2 linked regions of the Alligator mississippiensis genome follow. Each later gene encodes a partner of the first gene's protein in a complex. Links are inferred from orthologs where the notes say so. Each region holds a gene or a part of one and is shown on either strand. Other genes may lie near its edges. The genes, in order: LLGL1 and PRKCI.

Region 1 (10,623 bases):
CATGGGTTTGCAAAGGCCGGGGGGAGCTGGGGTCCCCAGCAGCTTGGAGGTCAGGCCTGGGAGCTGGGGAGCTCCCGCCGAGGCGCCGTCCAGCTTCGCTGGGCTGGGGGGCAGCCGAGCCGAGCACAAAGGCCCTGGCCTGGCTCTCCGCGTGCAGGACAGGCGCTGCAGCCCGTCTCCTCAGGGAACAACTGAGCTGCCGGAGATGGAAGGGCCTTGTCTGAGGCACAGAGGGGCCACATGGGGCTGTGGCTGCCGGTTCCCGGCATGGGTGTTATCGCTGTGCCCTGCAGCTCGTGCTGGGGCAGTGCTGAGAGCAGGGCCCCGCTGCCTCAGTACCCTCCTCCTTCCCCAGAGTGCTAGCAAGCATGTCGGGCTTACTGACCAGGTGAGGGGATGTGCCCAAGGCTATGGAGTGAAGCAGTGTCAGAGCTGGGCTCGCCCCTTCCCCTAGCTCTCAGCAAAGGGTCTGTGTGACCTGTGAGCCAAGGCTGTGAATGGGCGCCGTGTCCCAGTTTGGGGTAACACAGCCGGGGGCTGCCGGGAGTTGACTCTCCTGTGGCCGCAGTCACGTGACGACAATCAAGGCAGCCCAGGCTCGTACCCCAGGCACCGGCGGGGGCAATGCCTCCGCTTCTGGGGCTGTCACGTGCGTGTCGGCCCCTAGCAGCAGTTAAGGAGGGCTCCGGTCTTTCCCCCCATGCCTGGACTCCCGTGTTCCCCTCGCCGGCAGAGCATCCTGACCAGCGCCCACTCGTCTGTCCTGGGGACGGGGCCCAGAGAGCTGCTCCCCTCCCGCTGCACAGAGACCTAATTAAAGACCTCTGACCTTTGGCTTCGTGTCTCACGACCCCATGCCCTGTCCCCATCCATCACCCAGGAGCGCTCGGCCTGGCTTCTTCCGGGTTTTCCCCGATCGCTCCTTGCTACAGACACCTCTGGCTTGCAGAGCTCATCCCCTGCAGCAAATGGGACGGCACAACCTGTACGAGGTGGGCTGGCACCATGGGTACGGCCAGCAGACGGGCACCCTCGTGCCCCAGCCCCATGCATATGGTCTCGCCCCTCACACCGTTGCCTCTTCTCGGGGTTGAGGCATGAGGCAGGGTTTCTTCCTCCCACACGTTCCCCCGGTGCAGGGCCCAGGTCCAGCCACCCTCTCCACTGGGCACGCGGGCCGGGTTTGCTCCGGGCGGCCAGCGCCCGCCCCGCTGCTTTCCCGAGGGCTGCAGGTTTCCAGGGAAATTCCAGCAGCAGCTGCGTCGCTCTGGCCCAGAACCGCGGCTATTCTTGGCAGCTCCAAAAATACCCGAGCGCTGCCTCCTGCTTCCTGCACCTGGCGGACGCATGCGCCTCCATCCCCATGCAAGCGCATGAGAGCCCGGGCAGGGAGGGAACGGCACGAGGGTTGGGACAGAGGTGCCAAGAGGGTGGGAGGGCGATGCAGGATTGGGGCCGGCAGTGAGGGCAGAGGGGCTGGTCCCAAGATGGTGGCGGCTCGGTCACGCCTGGGGTTGTTCACTGCGGGGAGTGGCGAGAGCCTGCAAGGGGGTTACAATCAGGGTGGGTCTTGGGCCAGTCCCCGCAGAGGGGAGCGTGATGCCCTGAACGAGGGGGCCGCATCCTGACGGCCTCCCTGGAGGAGGCTTCTTCTTGCCCTGCCCTTCAAGCCACCATCGGTCTCATGTGCTAAAGCTCATTTAAACCATAAGCAAAGCCTCTAGCAGTGGGGGAGCCCTGGGTCCCGTGTCTTGCACGGGCCTGGCCCACGTGTGAGCCCAGAGGAGGCTGGAATAGACCAGCCTGGCAGCACAGCCTCGTGCTCAGGGGCTGGACTGGGTCCTGGGGGCTTGGAGGGACAGCTTTGCACCAGCCTGTCGTGCCCCCGCAGCAGCCCCGTGGCACCAGACCTGGCTGCCAGTTCGCAGGGACCGGGGGCAGCGGGACGTGGTGCCTGGAGACGTATAGGAGGGGTCCGATGGCAATATTGAGGCCGGTGCTGAGCAGGGTGCTGTAGGGCAGGCACCCCCAGAGCCAGGCGGGCAGGGGGGGACAGCCTGAGCTGTGGGTGATGGAGCAGGGGCCCGGAGAGAACGAACCTGGCTCCGGGCAAGCCAGGTGCTCGGGGCCAGGAGCCCGGGGTCTCTGCAGGCTGCTGAGCCCCGAGGCGCGGCCGGCATTGAGCCGAGCGCCCTGAGCTTGGCCTGGCTGTGCTGCAGCTGCACCGCCGGGGCTTCCCGCTGCTTGCGAGGGCAGTGCTCTTGGCAGCTCTCACGATGCATTGTGCAAACCCTGTGCACCGCGGGGAATTTGCAGCTGGGCTGCGCCCTCCTCCCAGCCGCGGCAGATGGAAATGAGCTGCGGATCTGAGAGCAGGTGCTGGGGGCTCCCGGAGAGCGCTGGCGGCATGCACGTCCCTGCCCCAGAATGGGGCTGGTCCTGTCCTCTGCCCTGTCCGCAGTGCCCCTGGCACCTGGCTGAGCCCCTGCTGCGGTCACTGGCACGCAGCCACCGGTGCATGGTCCGGGAGCATTATTACGGGGTAAGAGCAGGCACATGGGCGCTTACCCCAGCTCCATCCTACTCCAGCTGTGGAGCTCAGGCTGGGAGCATGGGGCTCCCAGCTTCTGTAATGACCCCACTGTGCTAATTGGCCCAGGCTGCGCGGTGCCCGGCTGGTAGCTGATGTCACTGCAGGGCAGGGGCTATAGCGAGGCGCTGCCGGGCGCTTGAATTCAAGGGGAAATGCCAGATCTGATCGGCCCTATCCAGGCTCCTACAGCATCTGCAGGAGGTCCTTAAAGCCCCAGCTCCAGGAGTCAGGGGATGCCAGAGAACCGGGGGAGTTCCCAGCCCTCCCGGGTGCTGGGAAGAGCTGGCCAGCTGCCCCGGGAGGCTTGGGGACCAGGATGCAAAGAATAGCAGTGTTTTAGTAATATAATAATAACAACAACAGTAACAATCATCATCATAAATCATTATCCTCATCACTATTGCACAAAGCCTGCGGCTTTTGAGCCAGTCTCTCAGGCCTGGCCCACGGCTCGGAGCAGCTGGGAGTGGCTGTGCTGGAAGCCGTCAGCATTGGACTGATTTGTTTCCTGGGATGGGATGGGATGGGATAGTGGGGGGGCCCTTCATGGCAGCTGGGGGTGAGCGTGTGTGCACACGCATGTGTGTGTGTGTGTGTGTGTGTATTTGTCTGTCTTTATGGCAAGTGTGTGCGGGGGGGCAACAGGGTTTGTGTGTAGGGAAGCTTTTGGGACGTGTGTGTGTGTGTGTGTGTGTGTGTGTGCGTGTGTGTGTGTGTGATGAGCTGCTACCCAGGCTGGGGTGGGTGCGGAGCCAGTTTCTTTCTTCTCCCGTCAGGGCATCATGTTTGGGGGCAGAAGCTGGGCGTGGTGCCACCCTGCCCTGCCCTCGTGCCCAGCCTCACCCTGCCCCTGCCCACGGTCCCTGCCTGCAGCCGGAGGCAGAGGCGCAGACATGCGGCTCAACCAGTCGCCCCGTGCCCCAGCCGGGTGAGTCACGGCTTCCCGGCCCCGCGCCTTGTCTCCGCACCAGCTCGTTCGTCTGCTTGTTCATCACAACTAGCTCTCCCAGCCGGGGCTGGGCATGCGGCAGGAGGTGGGGGCCGGGGACAGGTGGGTGATGCCCTGACGGGAGCCCCAGGAAATGCCGACATCCCCAAGCCCTGCTGCTGCTTCTGTCCCAGCTGTGTGCACGGCGCTGTACAGACGAGTTGAGAGCGGGCCCTGCCCACGCACACCTCCAAGCAAACGCAGCATGCACCACCGGTCGGGAGGGCCTGACTCAGTGTTTCCTGGCTGTGACTCGGGCAGATGAGGCCACGTGTCTCATTACTGCCCTTGCCTTCGCCCCGGGGGCCTGCACCCCCACGGGACAGCGCTGGGTCCTGGAGGGTTTCCGCTAGACATCCGACAGCTCCTGGCTCAGCGGTGTCACGGCTGCCAGCCTGTCTGGTGATGCCGGCCAGTCCAGCTTAACACCAGGGGAGAGTTTGGCCCAGCTGCCAACAGTGCTGTACTTTGCTCTGGATGCAAATGGTTCTCATTAGTTCGCTTCCACTGCACGGTGACGTGGATCTCCAGGCGCGGGGCCTGCCCCTGCAGCGGGCCACCTGCCCCAGCCCCTGCCACGGCCGCCCCGGGGGGCGCTAAGCACCATGCCGGGGCCTGCAGGGCAGCTGGAGGCAGCCCAGGTGCAAAAAAGGCTGATATCTTCCCCCTCCGCTGGAAACACCCCTGGGTTGGTCTACACGGGTGCACTGCTGGGTGCTCCCACCCTCCCAAAGTGCCCGCTGCCCGGCCTGATGCCCCAGGGTTATGGGGGTTCCCCCACATGGCAGCCGCTGCCCAGGCAGAGGCAGCACTGGTGCAACCACTTGGGGTGCGAATTTGCACCCTCCCTGCCCCCCACTGTCTCAGGGTTAGAGGCCCTGTACCCATCTGGATAGGTGGCACCGCTTGCCCTCGGGCTTGACCCTGCTGGCTGGGGCATCCCTATCCCACATTCACCTCCCATGGTTAGGACGCCCGTGCCCTGCCCTGGGTGCTGCTGGATGCACCCCCGGAGGGAGCTGCCCAGGGAGCCCGGGGCGGAGGCAGGTGGGAGACGCACAGAGCCTGCACTGCAGGGGCAAGGACTTCAGCGGGGCCTCTATCCGCGTCTAAGGACCAGGGCACGATCCCGCCTGGATTCTTCTTTCTTCCCTGGAGCTCCTGCATGGCCCTATCGCGTGCCAGAGGCTCCAGGAGCAAGACGGCCTCTGCTCCGGGAGTCGGGGGGCAGTGGGGGCACGGCGGGCATGGATTTCACTCCCCACCGCCCTTTGGCAGGGAGCTGTGCCTCCACCTGGGGGTGACTGAACGAACCCAGCGCCCACAGCTGCAAGGGGTTGAAGGCACCTCCTGCTTTTCCTTGCAGCACCGTGGGGCACCCCCAGACCCCAGCTGGGGGTTAGGTGATAAATTGCGGGTGCCCATCACTGGGGGGTTGCAGACGGTGTGGGCACTGACGCTGTTCCCCCGCATGTGCCTAGGGGTGGCAGGGCGGGGCCCCCCAGCCCCAGGGCTGCTCTGAGCCCTCTGCAGGGCAGCGCCGCGCCCCGCCGCCAGGGGGCAGGCGAGAGCAACGCTGGCAGCAGGAAACTACATCTCCCAGCCTGCCTCGGGCCGGACGCGGCGCACGCGCACGAGGCGGTGCCGCCCTCCCTGGGGAGCCGCCCGGCGCCGCCCGCATTGTCTGGTCGGCGGGGCCCGCAGGGGGAATCGCTGATTGGCTGCCCTGAGCGTCACTCAGCCGCGGGCCCCTTGAAAAGAGCCGCCCCGCCCCGCCCCCTCCCAGCAGGGCGCCGCGCGGCCGAGGCGGCAGCAGAGTCCGATCGCGCCCGGCCCGCCCCGCGTGGCCCCGGTTCGAGCCCCGCCGCCGGCACCATGATGAAGTTTCGGTTCCGGCGCGGGGGCCACGACCCGCAGCGCGACCGGATCAAGCAGGAGCTGTTCGCCTTCAACAAGGTGCCGCGCCCGCCCCTGCCCCTCCCCCGTGCGTGTGTGTGTGTGTACAAGGGCTGGGGGGGTACGTGTGCATCCTCCTCCCTGCTGTTGGGGGGGGGGGGTGAAGCGGTGGTGGGGACGAGGCTTGCACACCCGGCGGGAAGCAGTGTGTGTGTGCGCGTGCAGGGGGGGCGGGGTGTGCAAGGGGTGCAGTGTGCGTGCAAGGGCGGGGGGTGTGCCAGGACACATGTATGGAGGGTGTGCATGCATATGCATGTGCGGGGGGTGTACAGTGTGTGTGTGTGCAAGGGAGGTGTGTAGTGTGTGTGTGTGCATACACGGGGGGTGTGCACGCAGGGGGGCGCAGTGCGTGTGTAAGGGGGGCCGTGCGTGCAAGGCTGTGCACGTGTGGGGGGGCACACATGCCGCGGGCCTCACAAAGCAGCGGGAGGCTGGAGCCACAGCTCGGGCTTTGTGCGGCCCCTTCCCTCCCCTCCCCGCCTCTCCGACCCCGGCCCCTCTCGGGTGCCCAGAGCCCCTGTGCCAGGCTCCAGCAAACCAGCCTCGGCCCCGGGCGAGGGGACGGTGGGGCCCCGGGGGCTGCTGCCCGGCCCTTGGGTTGGGGTCCCCACGCGGCCGGGGGCCTTGGGGCAGCGGGATGTGGCCCTCGCTCCGGGCAGGGTATAGCCCCCGGTGCCGGGCGCTCCTCCGTCAGCAGCCTGCGCCCTTTGTCTGGGCTGCCCCCTCCAGCAAGCCCTCTGGGCTCTTTCCCTGGAGCGGCGACCTGGCTGCGCTGGGGGGACCCGCGGCCCCCGGCTCTTGGCTGTCCGGCCTTCGCCCACCTCTGCCTCCTGACTGCTCGCAGAGGCCCCGTGGGGACGGCAGTGAGCCCCGGACACGATGGTGCATCCCCTCCCCACGGCTGCCCGGCCAGGGCCCCTGCAGGCATCCCCTGGTGCCCGGCCCCCAGCCCGGGGCTGCGCTTCGTGCCGGCAGCCCGTGTGGGACGGCTCGCCTGCCAGGAGCCGGGCTGCGGACTGGGCTAGGAGAGGAGGCTTCTCAGGGCCTTCCCTTCCCCGATGCCAGCGCTCCTGTTCCTCGCGGGCTCCAGCGTGAGGAGGTCCCACCTGCCCCAAGGAGCTTGTGGCCCAGGTAGGGGGGTCCCTGCTCCACCACGGTCCCCCTGGGCCTGCCAATCCCCGGTGGCTCGGACTCGAAGCACGTGGGAGAGCTCTGGCCTGTCCTGGGATGGAGCCAGATGGGGTTGTTACAGGGAGGGGGCTCCTCTCCTCCAAGTGCCTGGTGTGACCGGAGAAGGGCAGGGAAGTGCTGGGCTGTGCTCCCTGCTGCTGTCGGTCTCCATTGTTAAGCAAAGCTGTTTGGCTTTGAGCAAGGCTGGGAACGAGCAGACCTGGCACCTCTGCGGACCCCAGCGGGGAGCAGGGGGCAAACGGCTGAGGCTGCTCTCTTCTCTGCCCTCGAGCTTGCGTGGGAGCCTGCAGCAGCGCTGTGCATCGCTGTGCATGGCTTGGGACACAACCGTCTATTGGGGAGAGGGGCTGTGGACTCGCTCTCGGGGTGTGTGGGTGCGTGGCACGGGGAGGCGGTGCAGGAGCCCTGCAGGAAGCAGGGGGCTAGTCCGTGTGTGCATGCCGCCTTTCCTGCCTCGGCTCCCCAGCATGCAGGTGCCTCTGCATGGGGCTGAAGCTGGTGGGTTTTGGGCCCCGCTGCACATGGAGAAGGGCCAAGCTGCTGCAAGGGTTTCCATGTGGAAGCCGTGGTGGCTGCCAGCAGCCTCCCCTCCCAGGCATGTCATGCTTTGGGGAGCCGTCCCCCCGTAGAGCAGCCCCCTGCAGCCAAGCCAGCACCGTGGGACCAGTTGTGGCATGCTCCACTGCAGGACGCCGCCTCCATCGAGCTGGCAGGTAGCGGGGAGCTGGCTGGGGGCTCCTGAGCTCCCTTGGCCCCACAAGCTGCTCACTCCAGCGGTGCTGCGTGCCAGCTGCCAGGTTTGCAGCTGGGGCAGGTGGAGCATCCACTGGGCCTGGTGCTTTGGGCTGCTGTGACTCGAGCGTGTGCTGAGCCTGGAGCCGGGACTGGCCTGGCTGGTCCTGTGGGGTTGGCTGGTGTTGTCGAGCTGCTGACTGGCCCTGTTGCACCCAGGGCGGGCAGGCTAATGAGTCGTCTGCAGCTGGCGGTAGAAGTCCTGCACCATGGCAAGGGGAGATTTGCTGGGTCACGAGTTATTGTGTCGCTCCCGGTCCCAGAGGTCGGTTGCTGGCCTGATCTCTCAAGGACCCTGCTAGTAGCCGGCGGCTAATTCTGACAAGGGGGGGTTTTGGCCGCTGTCCTTGTCAGAAATGGGTCGATTCGGCCTCTATCCGGGGATGGGGCTGCAGCTGCACAGCAGCCTGCCCTGGATACCTGCTTCCACCCCAGCTGCCTCCTGGAAGCATGGCCTTGGCCTTCTGGGATGCCACGGGGTCCAGGACATTCTCCAGTTGCTGCAGTTGGTCTCCTGATGAGCAGGTGTCTTTGTGACTGGTGCTCGATCCCCAAAGTAGGGCAGAGGCAGGGCTGGATGAAGGCTGGTAACCTGAGGGCTGCGTGTGGTGGGTGCTGACCCAGCACATGGGGCGACGAGATGCCTTTGCAGATCTGGAGGCTGCCAAAGGCTGCTGCACCCGTGCGGGGAGCACGTTGGTCATCTCTCAGCCTCGGGGCTGCTGTGCTCTTGGGTGTTTGTGTTGCATCATGAGCATCTTGACCTGGGGAAGAAGAGGGGTCCTGGGCGTGAGTTAGAAGCCCCACATTTGCCCATTGTTGAGGTGCTTTGCAGTGATTTCTTGGCAGGTCTGGACCCAGAGTCCAGAAGGAGAGGGTGTTAGATTGGTCCTCCACCTCCCCGGCATCTGCAGTGGGGTCCAGAGGGCCATGCAGAGAAGCCGGGCACCTGGGCTGCACTGCGTGGACTAAGGATGAGTTTGCATCTGTCCAGCCCCTTGCAGGCCTGACCTCCGCTCCGTCCGTGGCCACCTTGCCCAGCGACGTGAAGGTGTTTGTGCTGCCCATGCTGCTAGAAGCTGGCTCTTCTGTGCCCCTGCGGGTGTTGGGTATTTGCAGGGCACCTGTTGAAGGAGATTGGTTCTCCCCACCACGTGAGGTGGCTGTTGGAAGATGTCAAGGTTTGATCCCCTTCCTGGTGCCATTAGAGCCACTGGCTCAGCCAGGCCTATGGGCAGCATGGGTCAAGTGGTGCTTGCAGCATGGAGCCCTGGGCTGCTGTCTGCAGCTGCAGTAATGCCCGTGCTCTAGCCCCTCTTCCATGGACTGGACTCGGAGCAGCTTTTGCAGAACTGGATCTGGTCGTGGGCTCTCGCACAGCCCAAGGGTTTCCAGGCCTGGGTCTGGCCTGGGCTGGCGTGGCAGGCACCCCCCCCCGTGCTTCCCTGGCAGCCACAGGCAGGTTGGCACCCAGTACCTTTGCATGGGACTGGTTTCTCTTCCTGCCTTGGCCTGGCCTCTCTGCAGAGCTCCTGCTGAAATTCAGCTTTGCCTTCCTGTGCGCTGGCCTGTGTTGCATCCTGGTGCCATCCCGAGGGCTGGGTCTGTGCATCCTGGCGACTGATTCGGTCTCCAAGGGGCTCTTAGCACCCAGCTAAAATCTGCAGATCTGAAGCTCCCAGGTGCTGCACTTGCAAGGCTCATTGGTCTCTCGGTCACAGTACCATCCAGCTGCTGTCTTGTGGGTGCATCACTTGTTCCCCAGGTTAAACTTGGAACCAGTTCTCACAGACCTCATTTCCCAGTGTCTCCCAGTTGTATTGGGGTGAGGAGCATGTGGCTGTGGTCTGCTGCCTGGCCAGTCTGTCAGCGCTGCTTGGGCAGAAGGATTCTGCTCCAAGTGTCTCTGCTGTGCCGAGGACAAGGCTGGGGGTAGCAGCAGCAATGTGGGGGGGAGAAGGATGAGCAGGGCCCACCTGGAAAGGGCTGACAGTGCCAGAAGGGGCAGAGTTGCTGTTGCCTGTCTTCCTCTAGGATCTGGACAGTGACACATGGGTGGGATGCTGGGTGTGGGGGGACATTCGGGCCCATGCATTGGGAGGAAGATGAAGAGGCAGTGGATACCTGATGACGGGCGGTCCCCATGTGCCAGGCCCCCCCGGCTCTGCAGCCAGTGCATGCAAAGGGGATTGCAGGTGTCTGGGCACGGGATGTTCCAGGTGGTGCTCTCGGTGCCATGTACCAGGCCTGCCAGGGGGTTGTTGCTGAACGTTGAAGGGACATGGGCAGGGGATGCCCTGCAGCAGTGACCACTTCCCTGGTGAGCAGGATGATGGGTGATAGGAGCTCGGGGGTCCTGGGGGATGTGCAGACCTGCCAGGTGGTTCTGTGGCTGGGACATCTGCAGGCAGTGCTCGAATATTCAGCTTGACCAGATCACTGGCACGTTAGAGGCCCTGAGCGCTGTTATACATAGCTGACGCGAGTCTCCAGCCGTCCCCTGGGTGCAGCATCTGTGTCAGGCTTATGTTCGGGCAGCCCCTTGGGGACAGTGGCAGGAGCTCGGTGGGCAGCAGCTAGGGCTCCTGCTATCATGGGTGATAACCAGTAGGCAGAGCTCCAGCTGCTGCCTTCCTGCTCGAGGAACCTGGCACCCCCTGTGCCCCCCACGGTGGCTGAGCTTGCAGGTGCCCATCCTTGCAAGTCAGGGAACACGGGTGTCCCCACTACAGACCAGTGTCTTGGCCCAGGCCATGCAGGGGCTGTGCAGGGTCCTAGTGGGGAGCATGGATCCAGTCGCCTTCCCCTCCACGCCTGCCCCATCAAGGCCGTGCAGAAAGCGCAGTGCTGCTTGTGGAAACCCAGTATGTCGGTGCTTGCCCTTGGCTGGAGGTCTCTAGAGACAGCAGGCACAGCCTGGCCTCCACCTGCCTGGGGAGGTGGCTGCATGCTGGCAGCGTGCTGTGCGCCCAGGGGACCCCTCAGCCCTTCTCCAGGAGAGGCCAAGACATGCGATGAGCTGCATGGCAATGGCCAGCTGGCCTGTTGTGCTGCCCCGATAGATGGCTTGAGCTGGTGTAGCATCACTCAAATGGACCCAGGC
Region 2 (11,425 bases), on another chromosome or scaffold:
CTTGTGTAGCCCCTGCCCTGTGACAGGCATGGGCAATGCATGAAGTTTTACAATTAAGTGGGAGTGCCCTGGATCTTACTGTGGTTTAGGCAGCCCGCAGGAAGGGAACTGGGTTTCACAAACTTAAACAGAGCCGTAAAGATATACACGCAGCTTGTGCATCTGCATTGTCAGTGTGTATTGGCAGGTTTGTTTGTCAGTGGCATTCCAGTTCCATTCATTTGGGCTGGCTAAACTACAGCAAAATAATACAGCAAAAAACTGACAGAAGTCATAGAGATAACATCTGCCACTTCTATACCCCTTGGGCTGAAATACAGAGGGCAATAAAAACAGCAATCATGATTATTCCTGTGGCTGTACACAGCACGGCAAATATAATAAGAACATCCCCACAATGCTGATATTTTATATTTAGGTTTTTATAACAATTAATATTACATGTAAGATTTCAAAAGATATCTGAGGGTAAACAAATCCCCTTGTTTTAAAATATCTCCAGTCTGTCTCCTTGTTTTACACCTTAGTGATGACGACTCCTAAATGCGTTCTCTCTCTCTCTCTCTCTCTCTCTCTCACACACACACACACACACACACACACGCGCACACACACACACACACACACACACACACTTTTACAGGTCCATTTAAGTCAGGGGACTTCCTAGTTAATTTAACTAAAATATTACACCTAAAATGTGTGTGTGTGTCCATTCATACGTATATGTATAGATAGATAGATAGATAGATAGATAGATAGATAGATAGATAGATAGATAAAATGTTCTTAGCTTTTCTTTGAAACAGACATTTTAAAACAAGTCACTTGGGCCTGTGTGATGTATTTATTCATTGATTGATTTGATTTGATTTGATCTGATTTAATTAATATACTGTCCTTTCAAACAAAGGCTGGATTAAAACAAGAGAAGAGAATAATTTATAAAACAGGAGAAGGAACAAGAGAACAAAACAACTTGAAAGGGAACTGGTGTATCAACATAAAACAGAAACTTCTGAACCATATCCCAAACTACCTGTGTTTGCTAAATTAAGCTTTTTGTGAATTTGTTGAAGTTAATTCCAAACGAGATACTACAGGAGTAATGAAGAACCAACTAGTGACTGAGTGTTTGCACATTACAGTAAGGTCTCCTATAAACTGAAAGATGCCAGTAAAATTGCTTTTTCCCAAAAATGGTGGTGTATGATCAAAGCTTTGAGGATATAAGCTAGCTCATTTAATGATAGATTGCGTATCTCTTTTCTGCAGTTGGCAGTATTTTTAGTGCAGTTCAGAATTCTTACTTTTATCTCTAGTCTTCAAAAGATGTATGTAATGCTTTAGAAGTGTGATTTTTTTTCATGGGTAATCTATACTTCTAAACAAAAGTGATTAAGTACCGAAATCAAACCAAACAGAGATAGGATAATAAAAGCCAGAATGTAAATACAACTAGGGAGTATCTGAGTCTAGGCAGGCTGGGAGTAATAAAATGTACTGTGTGGGGAAAATAAGTCAGAGTACAAAACAGGATTTTACAGGGTTTAAGAGTAAGAGACTTTCTGGCCAACAGATTAAGGGAGAGATTAATCCCAAGAGTGGAAAAGACTAAAAAGCTGATGAATGAGGAAAAAATTAGATCCTCGCCATAGGGCTGGCAACTCTCAGACTACTGATGTAACAGAGTTGAACAGTATATTGTTCAACAATATAGTATCAGTAGTCTAAGAGTATAGTGTTCAACTCTGATGACCCAGGGGAAGCAGGGATGCAAGAGGTTCAGACACAAAGGCCATCTCCTGAAGACACAGTATGCACAGACCGTTCTGAAAAAATTAATACAAAATCTCCTCCAGTTATGGTGAGCTGGCAAAGGGAAGTACAGCAGTTTGGAGTGACTTTGTATGATGAGGAAGTTTGCTTTGTAAATTTGAACAGGACTGAATCTTTCATTCAATCGCTAGAGACTGTTTTATAGCATTACCCCCAGGATGGACCTGAATGATTTATTTTTTAGCTATGGTTAAAGAGCAATACACTTTTGTTTATTATTAAATAAAATTAGCAAAAAACAGAGGTACTCTGAATGCAGATGATTTCCTGAACTGGGTTAGTAATCTGCTACAGAATAATGCAAAGATAGTGGGGAATAGGACAGTACAACCCACTGTAGCAGTTATAAAATGCTGGGGACCTGAAGAATTAAAAGCTAACCCAGATAGCCAAATAGTGGACTCAGTATAGTGGACAGTTTTGATGATAATGTGTGTTTTGCTGGCAGGTTTACGGTAGTTGTGACTGATGGGAAACACACTACTACTGAGCTTTTAGGTGGGGCTACAATGAGAACTTGCGGGGGGGTTCCAATCAGAATAGATGATGATCAGTGATGGAGTCATACTGGCACAGCATGTAGGAGGCACCACTAAGGCGTAAAATAAAGGTTCAGTCTGGAGACATTTTAAAACAAGGGGATTTGTTTACTTTAGGACACCTTTTGAACTGTTACATGCAAGAATCATTGCTATGAAATCCTGTACATAAAAAAAATCAGTATTGTGTGGACATTTTTATGACTTTTGCTATGCTGTGTAGGGCCATAATAATCATGGCTGGTGTTTTTGTTGCCATCTGTATTTGACCACAAGAAGTATAGAGGCAGCAGGACTTAGCCAGAGATATGACTTGTCAGGTGTTTTGGAAGACTTGAATATGTCCTGAGGGACACATGGACCTAGTGATTCAAGCAAAATTTGCTGCATGCCTCAGTTCTACAGGGACAAAAGCTGCAAACATAAAGGTCAGTGTTGAAATCCATGTTGATCTAAATAATATAAAATAGCATTAGAGCCCTGAAATTATTGGAAAATCATGTCTCTTTATGATTTTGGATGTGGACAAAAGACTAATGTGGATATACCTAATTGCATCTTGTCTAGATTGCAGGGAGACCTTGGCAGAATTTAAGGGTTAAGACTGTGTTCTGGACTTTGTCAATACATTTATGGCTATGTGGTTAGAAGAATGATTTCAAAGCTTACATTCAAACATTATGAAATATGCTTGTCCATAGGTGGCTGATAGGAAAGCTGCATGTAGACTGGATAGCTCAGAGAAGTAAACTAATGAGCAAAGGCCTTGGACTTTCATTGTATTGACTCTAAACTTAGCATGAAGCTCAGTAGAAGTCAAAGACCATGGCTTTTGAAGGGGCCAAAAGCTGTTTTCCATACTAATGTTCTTAAAAAGAACAACTATGCTAGGCCTATGACTTAGCTGCAGCACTTGGGGGGGTGGATCATATGCTTTCCGAGGAGAAACCAGGGTTTCTGAAACAACATCCTTGACCTGTAAAAAGATCTGGTATATTATTACCACTTGGATGTAAAAATGTTGCAATAAGATTGTATCCTGTACAAGAATCCCTAGAAATAACTGTTAGTGGTTATAAAAATTGTTCTGTCATATAGCTCCCATTCCAGACAACTACCCTGGGCAGAAAGAGCCTCTGCCATAACTGTTTAGTGGCTGATAGGTACAGTTCATACTATGCATGTACAACATGCCTCAAGGGTGAACACTTTCAAATAAATTGCTGCTTTCCAGATGGTTGCACAGTTAACAATGACAAAGCCACAGCTTTTGAATGTACTGACTCATTTTTCATGGGTGAGCCATCTCCTATTGTGAAAAGGTATAATATCCTTTGGTCAGGTCAATGCTTGTTCAATTTTATCATCAGACAAGGTTTAGGACTAATTTTCTTTAAAGACAGGGATTTGTAATCAGGGACAATGGGAGCCCAAATGGAGAGACATGTTATTGCCTTACAAGGAACTTTCAGATTTTCTAATAGCTAGTTCACCTCCAGTGCCCCGAGATGGTGTTTTGAAACTAGGACTATTAGTGTTTGTCCATATTAGAAACCTGTGTCCAATGAACAAAATAAATATTATTATTTTTACCAGCCTGTACCTGAATGCAAACAAGAAATACCCAGTTGGAATCACTTAAATTATTTATGACAATTTTAATTTGCATTCACGTGCTTTGGAAGCACCAATGTTAAAATAAACCTCCACAAGGACTGCTTTTTTTACCCTTGCTGTCAAACTTCTGTTTCATATGTCTGGTACATACAGAGTCTAAACAGCATTTGCCTTGGAGAAATGATGACAAAAAGAAGGCAATCACAAGCAGCCAATGCACTATAAAATCGAATGGGGCGAGAAAAAACAGAATCCGGTTGGCCAAAATCTGTGATAGTGGAATTTATCTGCAAGACTGGATATGTTATTTTCTGAAAACATGACATTACACATGCAACAAAAACAAGATTTGTCAGGGTTTCTCATCTGATACAAGGGCATGATCAAACAAAATCACTAGACCAGTTATATCTAGGAGAAAGAAAGTATTTATTTATATTAAGGTCAAATTAAGGTAAACTCCAATGAAAAGTTGCTATATTGTTTCTAATCTCCTTGTAGAGGAAGTTCACACAGGTACTGACCCTCTATCACCAGTTCAGTGGATGATCTTCATAAATTCTGACACTAGGGGTCAGATTCTTAAGCCTGTTGCAGAAAAAACTACTACTATCAAAGTGATTTTGACAGAAACAGATTTTTGTATGCAGAATCACTCACTTTTTAGTAATCACTTAATTGACATGCCTTATTCCATCACCTATGTCTCTATATCTGTCCTGAAGAGTGCATGCCTTTCAGCCTGTTTTCCAGTTGTGATTTCTATTCCACCACATTTGACTGACTTCTAAGTATTGTAGCCATACTACTGGAACTTTGGTAAATGCAAGACCTCTTGTTTAATACTGGCTATTAGAAAGTTAGGTCCATGGATTCCTTATTTTTTTCTGAGGTGTTTAACAAATGAATTGACTGTCTGGCTTGTTGCAAGTCATCAAGTAGAATTTAGACAATCTTGCAGCTAAATTTCTAGATTTGTTTTCCTTTCCCAACAATAAGCTATAAACCTGTTGCTCCTGTTGCCACAGCTGTTTAAGTAGGTGGAGTGTCAAATATTTGACAAAGAGCTTTCTGTTTTCTTCTGGCAAGTTATCGATTGCCTGTACTTACTGCCTGCAGAAGTAAATACAACCCAAAAGCCATATTGGTGTGTATGGTGGCAGGGGGAGAGATAATGCAGTTGATCACTCAACCAGCTCACTTTTTTGGAGTAGTTCAGAGTGTTCCTCACCAAATGATGTTTCACTCACAAATCTGAGTACACTGTTGGAGCAATTTATTTCTGTAATTGCATCCTGTTACACCTGAATGCTGCTGCATTGAACACTGTAGCTCATGCCAGTTTTAGTAACTGACTCAATCACAAACTCAACACAGTGGTAACTCTTAGCACAGTTCTAGAAAAGGAGCTTTACAGTACATTTCGAAGGAGAAAATGGACTGCTCTAGATGCCAGTTTTAGCACATGCATTGGAAGCGGAACTGACATTAAAGTTAACAGGAACTGGACTGGGCTTAAATCCAACAAAGCACTTAAGTCAACAGGATCACCTAGTGCTTTGTGAGGCGTGTACTTGGTTTAATTGGAGCCAACAGAAGAATTTGAAGTCTGACTGTTCTCACTTTGCCACAAGCAGAGTACTCTGATAGGTATATTTTAAAATCTAAAAATGCTGCCTGTGCAAGGTCTTGTGGGAATGTCCTGAGATGGCCAACGATAATAATCAGCTTGTAGAGGACTAGTTATCTAATCGCCCACACACTTAGAGGTCTCCATAATTAAACTCTCAACAACACTTAGCTATTTCCTATTAAAAATAGAGAACATCCAGCTTTTTGTAACACATTGCTGCTCGTATAATACAAAATCTTACACGGCAGCAGCAATACCCTTGGCATTGTTAGTATAAGTTTTTGTAGCTGGGTAAGCTTAGTCCAGTGGTTCTTTGCCTTTTTGGACTCGAGACACCCCATGAACAATGACAACTTTTAGTTTTCACTCCATTTTTGATGGCAGAAAGGATATTAGAGTAGATGTGATATCTTTTATTAGACCAACTGAATAGTTGGAAAAAAGTTCTTAGCAAGCTTTTGGGCGCAATCGCCCTTCTTCAGGCATAGGAACAGCAGAGACTCCCTATGCCTGAAGAAGGGCGATTGCGCCCAAAAGCTTGCTAAGAACTTTTTTCCCAACTACTCAGTTGGTCTAATAAAAGATATCACATCTACTCAAAGAACCTTGCCTGCCCATGTCCCTAGACCAGTACAGCTACCCCCAGCAACCCAGAAAAATATTAGAAGAATTCTAACACGATATTAGAACCATTCTAACAACACTAGAACAATTAGAACAATTGCAAAGAACTCGGAAAAACCGCAACAGGTCACAACGCTTTGACATCTGCGGGTTTGTCTGGTGAAGCACGTGTGCACGCTTAACATTGGGGGCAGCCTTGCAAGGATTTCCAGGCTGCTGGGGTTGCCGTGGCTGGGAATCACTGGCTCACTTCCTGCCCTCTGGCCCGATGCTGAGCAATCCTGGCAACCCTGTCCCCGTGCATCCACGGGGATTCAGGAGCACCGGCACTGCCCGCCCCTCAGTCCCAACCGGTCCAGCACGCGCGGCGGACTACAAGTCCCATCATGCCTCACGGCTCCGGCATTGGGTTGTACCAACTGCCGTGGATTGAGGAGGGGGGGAATCCTCCTAACCCCGAGCACCTTCGAAGCGGCCCGCCCCCCGCGGTGTGAGCACTTGGTTCAGGCCGCGGGCAGGGGGCGGGGCAGAGGCGCTCCGGGGCGCGGGGGTAGCCGCCGCCTCTTCGCGCCGGGCCCTCGGGAGCGGCCGCCGCCGGGGAGGGAGGCGGGAGGGCAGGGGCGGGCGGGCGGGCGGGCGGGCGCGCGGCGATGCCGACGCAGCGGGAGGGCAGCGGCGGCGGCGGTACCACCATGTCCCACTTGTCGCTGGGCGGCGGCGGCGGCGGCGGCGACAGCGCTCACCAGGTCCGCGTCAAAGCCTACTACAAGGGGTGAGTGCGGCGGCGCCGCGTGTTCGGGGGCAGGCGGCATTTTTGGGAAGAGAGGCGTTTCCTTCTGCCCCTCCCTGGCTCCTCCAGGCCCCCGCTGAGCCTTGGCCCTTTGTTCCAGGGGTTTGCACAGTGCTTGGGAAGAGACCCCCCCCCCCCTTACCATCTAAGCAAGGGCAAGACTTGGCTTTGGAGAGAGATGAGCAAATAAAAATAAAGAACTAAGAGCGTGAGGAAATGCATCAGTGCTTTCATTAAGCCTGCATTGCTTTCCCTTTAGTAATCCATGTAATAATCACGGTTAAGATAAGGCCAAAAGCCACGCGATGATTGGGACAGTTTATATAGAGCTGTACGCGTGATATTTTGCTTGTCACTTCCGTCCGTAGCATCTCTGGTAGACCGGCTTTTTTTTTTTATTTTTTATAAAGAAATATCTGAATGGTGTTTGCGTGAGCATTTTGAGGTGTTAAATTACTTAGATTGTGTGCAGTTGAAAGCCATTTAAGATTTCATCGCTAACAAGAACAACAACGTGTTTCTTGTGTGCGGGTCGGTGTGAGATGCCTCTCTCCGTTCACCTGGGTGTAAATGCAGTTGTCAGTTCAAGTAAAGGATTGAAACTAACCAACTCCCTTTGTGACTCACGTTAATGATCCCGGTTATAAACAAGCTGTCTAACTGGAATGCCTTCCTCGTGAGCTGTATGAAGGTCTCATTTATACATTTCCTGCCCACCCCCACTATTTTCCTCTAACTTTATGCACTCCAAAAAATTCTCTCATGCTCCATTCAGCCTGTCAGACTCTCATCTTAAACTATCAGAAACCTTGCTAGAATATACGATTTTACTTATGTCTGGCTTCACACTTGGGGACTGAAGACCTTAAACTCTCTGGCCCCCTAGCTAGCATGGAGACAGTGCTTTTGCTCAAGGAATTTGGCTAGGGAAACTGTTTTGAAATTATAATTTTTTCTCTTCAGAAAAAAGTTGTTGGAGCTGACATAAGTGTGTATGTACATGCCTGCGTATGTATATGTACATGTTCTGATGGACCTTCACCAGGGAAGGTTTCTTGGCACAGGGATAGAATTTCTGCTCAAATCCAGGGGGTGGACATTTTTATGGTGGTACAAAGGCGAAGCAAACCAACATCCATACCCCCTTGTCTTGTGTCAAATGCCTAAAACTTGTGGTCATAACTTGTGACTTGGTAGCAGCCTATAAGTATACAAGGGGTGTGCATCAGGATCTGGGGGAACCCCTGTTCAGAGCACCCGAACGAAAGACAACGTCCAGTGGTCACAAACTCCTGGAAGACCATTTTAGGCTGGACATCAGGCAAAAAACTTCTTTACCATCTGTGTTCCCAGAGCCTGGAATAGCACCTGTAGGCACCTACTCCAGACACTTTTAAGAAACATTTGGACACTTATCTTACTGGGATTCTTTGACCCTAGCTGACTTCCTGCCTCTTGGGCAGGGGCTGGACCCAGTGATCTTCCAAGGTCCCTTCCAGCCCTAATGTTTATGAAATCTATAATCAATTTGTGATGCTTTATTACAGCAGATGTCTTTTAGGTTTATGGTGGGAGAGTGTGGTCAGCTCAGAGCTGCTGATGCTTTCCAGCAGCCCTGGGCTGGCACTCCCATGGTTTCAGAGTCTCAATCCCATGTGCCCTGAGAATTCCCATTCCTGGGGCAAGCAGGATCAGGCCCCGAAGGCCTGGGAGCACCTGCCTGGGTTCCCCTGTTTGGGATTTCCCAGACATCCATTGACACTCTAGTATGGTCCCAGACCTGAGACGGACAATCAGCTTATTGGCGGGGCCTGGGCCTTGGACCACACTGGAGTACGGAAATTGCTCCAGTGTAGTCTTGGGACTGAGGCTGCCAATCAGTTCACTCGTGGTTCCAGCCCCAGGACCACAATGGTGTATGTAGCTCTGTCTGATGTGGTCTCCAGGGCAAGTTTCTGTAAGCTGAGAAAGCTAGGGTTTCCCTTGTTAGAGATGTGCCCCAAAGATTTCCAGGGCACATCTCTGTTAGTGGGGAACACATTGCCCATTGTCCCACAAGATCAATGGCGGGACAATGGGCAATCTGTGTTTTGCCCAGTGAGGTGGATCAGTTATGCCAGGCGCATCCTGGCACTCCTCATCTGTTCCATTTGGTGCCATCTATTTCTAGCCTTAGAGCAATAAATAGTCTACCCAGGTCTCTTGCCAGGGAAGTCAAGTCCCTTGTCTGAATCAAGTAGGCCAGAGTCTTGAACTTTGTTCTTACCACATTGCAGGTTAATGCCCTGCCTGCTACAGGCCTGAAACAAGTCTCTTCATAACTCTTGGCTTTTGACAAGAATTTTATAAAGTCTGGGTTTACTCTGTAAATAGGAAAACTTCTGAAATTTAATTTTAGTGAAATCAAAACTTCATGAAAATCTGTTTTTGCTCAGTTGTAAGATATCTATTCAAGGGCTTTGTTGCTAGAGTATCAGCTGTGAAGTGTGTGAATTTTAACTCTTGGAGTTGCTGAAGAATTAGGTAGCAAAAACAGTCATCTCATTGCAGTAGGACTTGAGGGCTCTTTTGGGAACCTTAACCATATTCAGCCTGATTTATTAGAGCCTAGATCATTTGTTAAAGAGTGGCAAAGGTTCTCAGATGGTGCTGTAGCATTCATAAGAGATTCAACAAAAATTCAAAGAGCATATGAGTTTGATGAACAGTTTGAGGCACTATACCAGGGTAGGAAACCCCTGGCACAGGTGCCAGAGCATGGTGCACACAGGCATTTTGCTTGGCATGCGTGCCTTGGGGCAGAGGGTGGGGAAGGGGGCTGTGCTGCAACAACAAGGATTGGGCCCCTCATGGCTCCTCTGCCATCCACCCTTAGCACACCAACATCTTACAAGTTGAGGTTGTGGGTGTTTTTACCTAAAAGCATTGCTGACCCCTGCACTTGACTTTGCCAACATCCATAGGTGTAAGGACTCCAGAACTGGGTGTTAGCTGTAGCCAAACTGGGGATTTTGACTAGGATATGCTAATGTTCCTGCTTGGGCTAAAACCTTGAGGGTTCCTGGTTTAGAGGATCTTACCCCCTGCTCAGAGTCGGATCGATTGCTAAATTCAGAGGGTCAGGAAGGAATTTTATCCCATGATCAGATTGGTATAGACTGTGGTGGGGTTTTGCCTTCCTCTACAGTGTGGGGCATAGCCCTTTTCCTTACATTGCTCAGGTGTATTTTAGCACCCCTTACAGCAGCAGGACACTAGCTGCCATTGTTCTCCTGCTTTACCTGTAGCAGGTTAGGGTGTTATATATGATCCCAGTACTGTAGAAAGAAAATGAATTAACCAGGAGAGGCACAGTTTAGAGTGGCATAAATTATAGTGACATGTATGTTGCTGGGAAGATAAGTCTAGAGTATGTCTCATTGCTAATGGCAAGTCTTGAAAAGGAACCATTATCCACAAATGAGTATTACTTGTGTTTAGGGACTAGTATGGATAACAGACTTGTGATATACCATCAACCTTTCAGCTGTGTAGGCTGCAATGTAGATCAAACCTAGAGCATAGTTTGATGACAGGGAAAAGATGCTTGTGTCCCACATACAGTGGAAATTATACCCTTGATGAAATGGGTAACAAACTTTATGATACAAATAAGTTTGGAGGATTGGTGTTCAATCTATATATTTATGAAAAAATACTAAATGAACTAAAATATTAAAATGTTTATACATCTCATTTTAATATCTGAAAACTAATTTATGATTAATATGGTGTCTTCCACTGAGGACATGAGAAGCGTGAAAGTGGATTGCATAGTAGAGGCTAAGTGGCCTCCTCGTGAGTAAAAACAAGAAAATACTTACGATGAGATGCCAGAAGTGGCACGTGTTAACTTGCCTTTTCTTTTTTATTAATGAAGCTTGTGTGAGTAGGTAGGGGAAATAATGGTTTAATATAAGTCAGAAGTCAAAAGATACCACACAAACAATTGCTTTGCTTTGTGTTCCCAAATGAATTATTAAGTTAATAGTGCAGCAAGTCTCTGCATTGTTTGACACAATTTCTTTCAGCAGAGTAGTCTGTCAAATATGATATTCTGTGAAGGAGAACATAAATATTTTAAGTGTTTATGCCTTTTATGTACATAAATATATTCATATCTGTCCCTGCTTCATCACAAAATTGATTTAGTTATGAGGATCAGTGGATCCTTGGACATAGCTAGGAATAAAACCTCACCTGCTCTTCTAGTGTTAATCTCCAGACTGTAAACTTCTGCTATGGGGAGAACTGCTTTAAATCAGTGGTTCTCAACCTCTTTGTCCAGATGGGCAGTACCCTGTCCCTCCACAGCCCAGAACTGGCCTGTGGACCCAGTCTGGT

What was found.
Region 2: the proteins of LLGL1 (region 1) and PRKCI are in contact, whole or in part, in a cryo-EM structure (PDB 8R3Y), measured with the Homo sapiens proteins. The link is inferred for Alligator mississippiensis from reciprocal best matches to the Homo sapiens genes LLGL1 and PRKCI. Residues at the interface, in NP_004131.4 of Homo sapiens: Ala315, Asp319, Glu367, His391, Ser392, Ala394, Thr396, Glu453, Cys483, Glu484, His485, Phe506, Asp507, Pro508, Tyr509, Ser510, Asp511, Pro513, Gln518, Lys519, Lys569, Ala600, Val601, Thr602, Leu644, Gly648, Pro649, Leu650, Ser651, Arg652; in NP_002731.4 of Homo sapiens: Asp339, Met341, Gln345, Arg348, Leu381, Asp382, Met399, Thr412, Phe413, Cys414, Pro417, Leu425, Glu445, Gly449, Arg450, Ser451, Gly457, Ser458, Ser459, Asp460, Asn461, Pro462, Asp463, Asn465, Thr466, Glu467, Asp468, Tyr469, Leu470, Phe471.

What each region holds. Positions count from the first base shown.
Region 1 is NC_081836.1:54,999,705-55,010,327, forward strand, and holds the start of LLGL1 (lethal(2) giant larvae protein homolog 1), read left to right. Parts: upstream 1-5,348; 5' UTR 5,349-5,456; coding exon 5,457-5,537; intron 5,538-10,623. UniProt on the Homo sapiens protein: Cortical cytoskeleton protein found in a complex involved in maintaining cell polarity and epithelial integrity. Involved in the regulation of mitotic spindle orientation, proliferation, differentiation and tissue organization of neuroepithelial cells.
Region 2 is NC_081830.1:74,794,858-74,806,282, forward strand, and holds the start of PRKCI (protein kinase C iota type), read left to right. Parts: upstream 1-6,884; 5' UTR 6,885-6,902; coding exon 6,903-7,024; intron 7,025-11,425.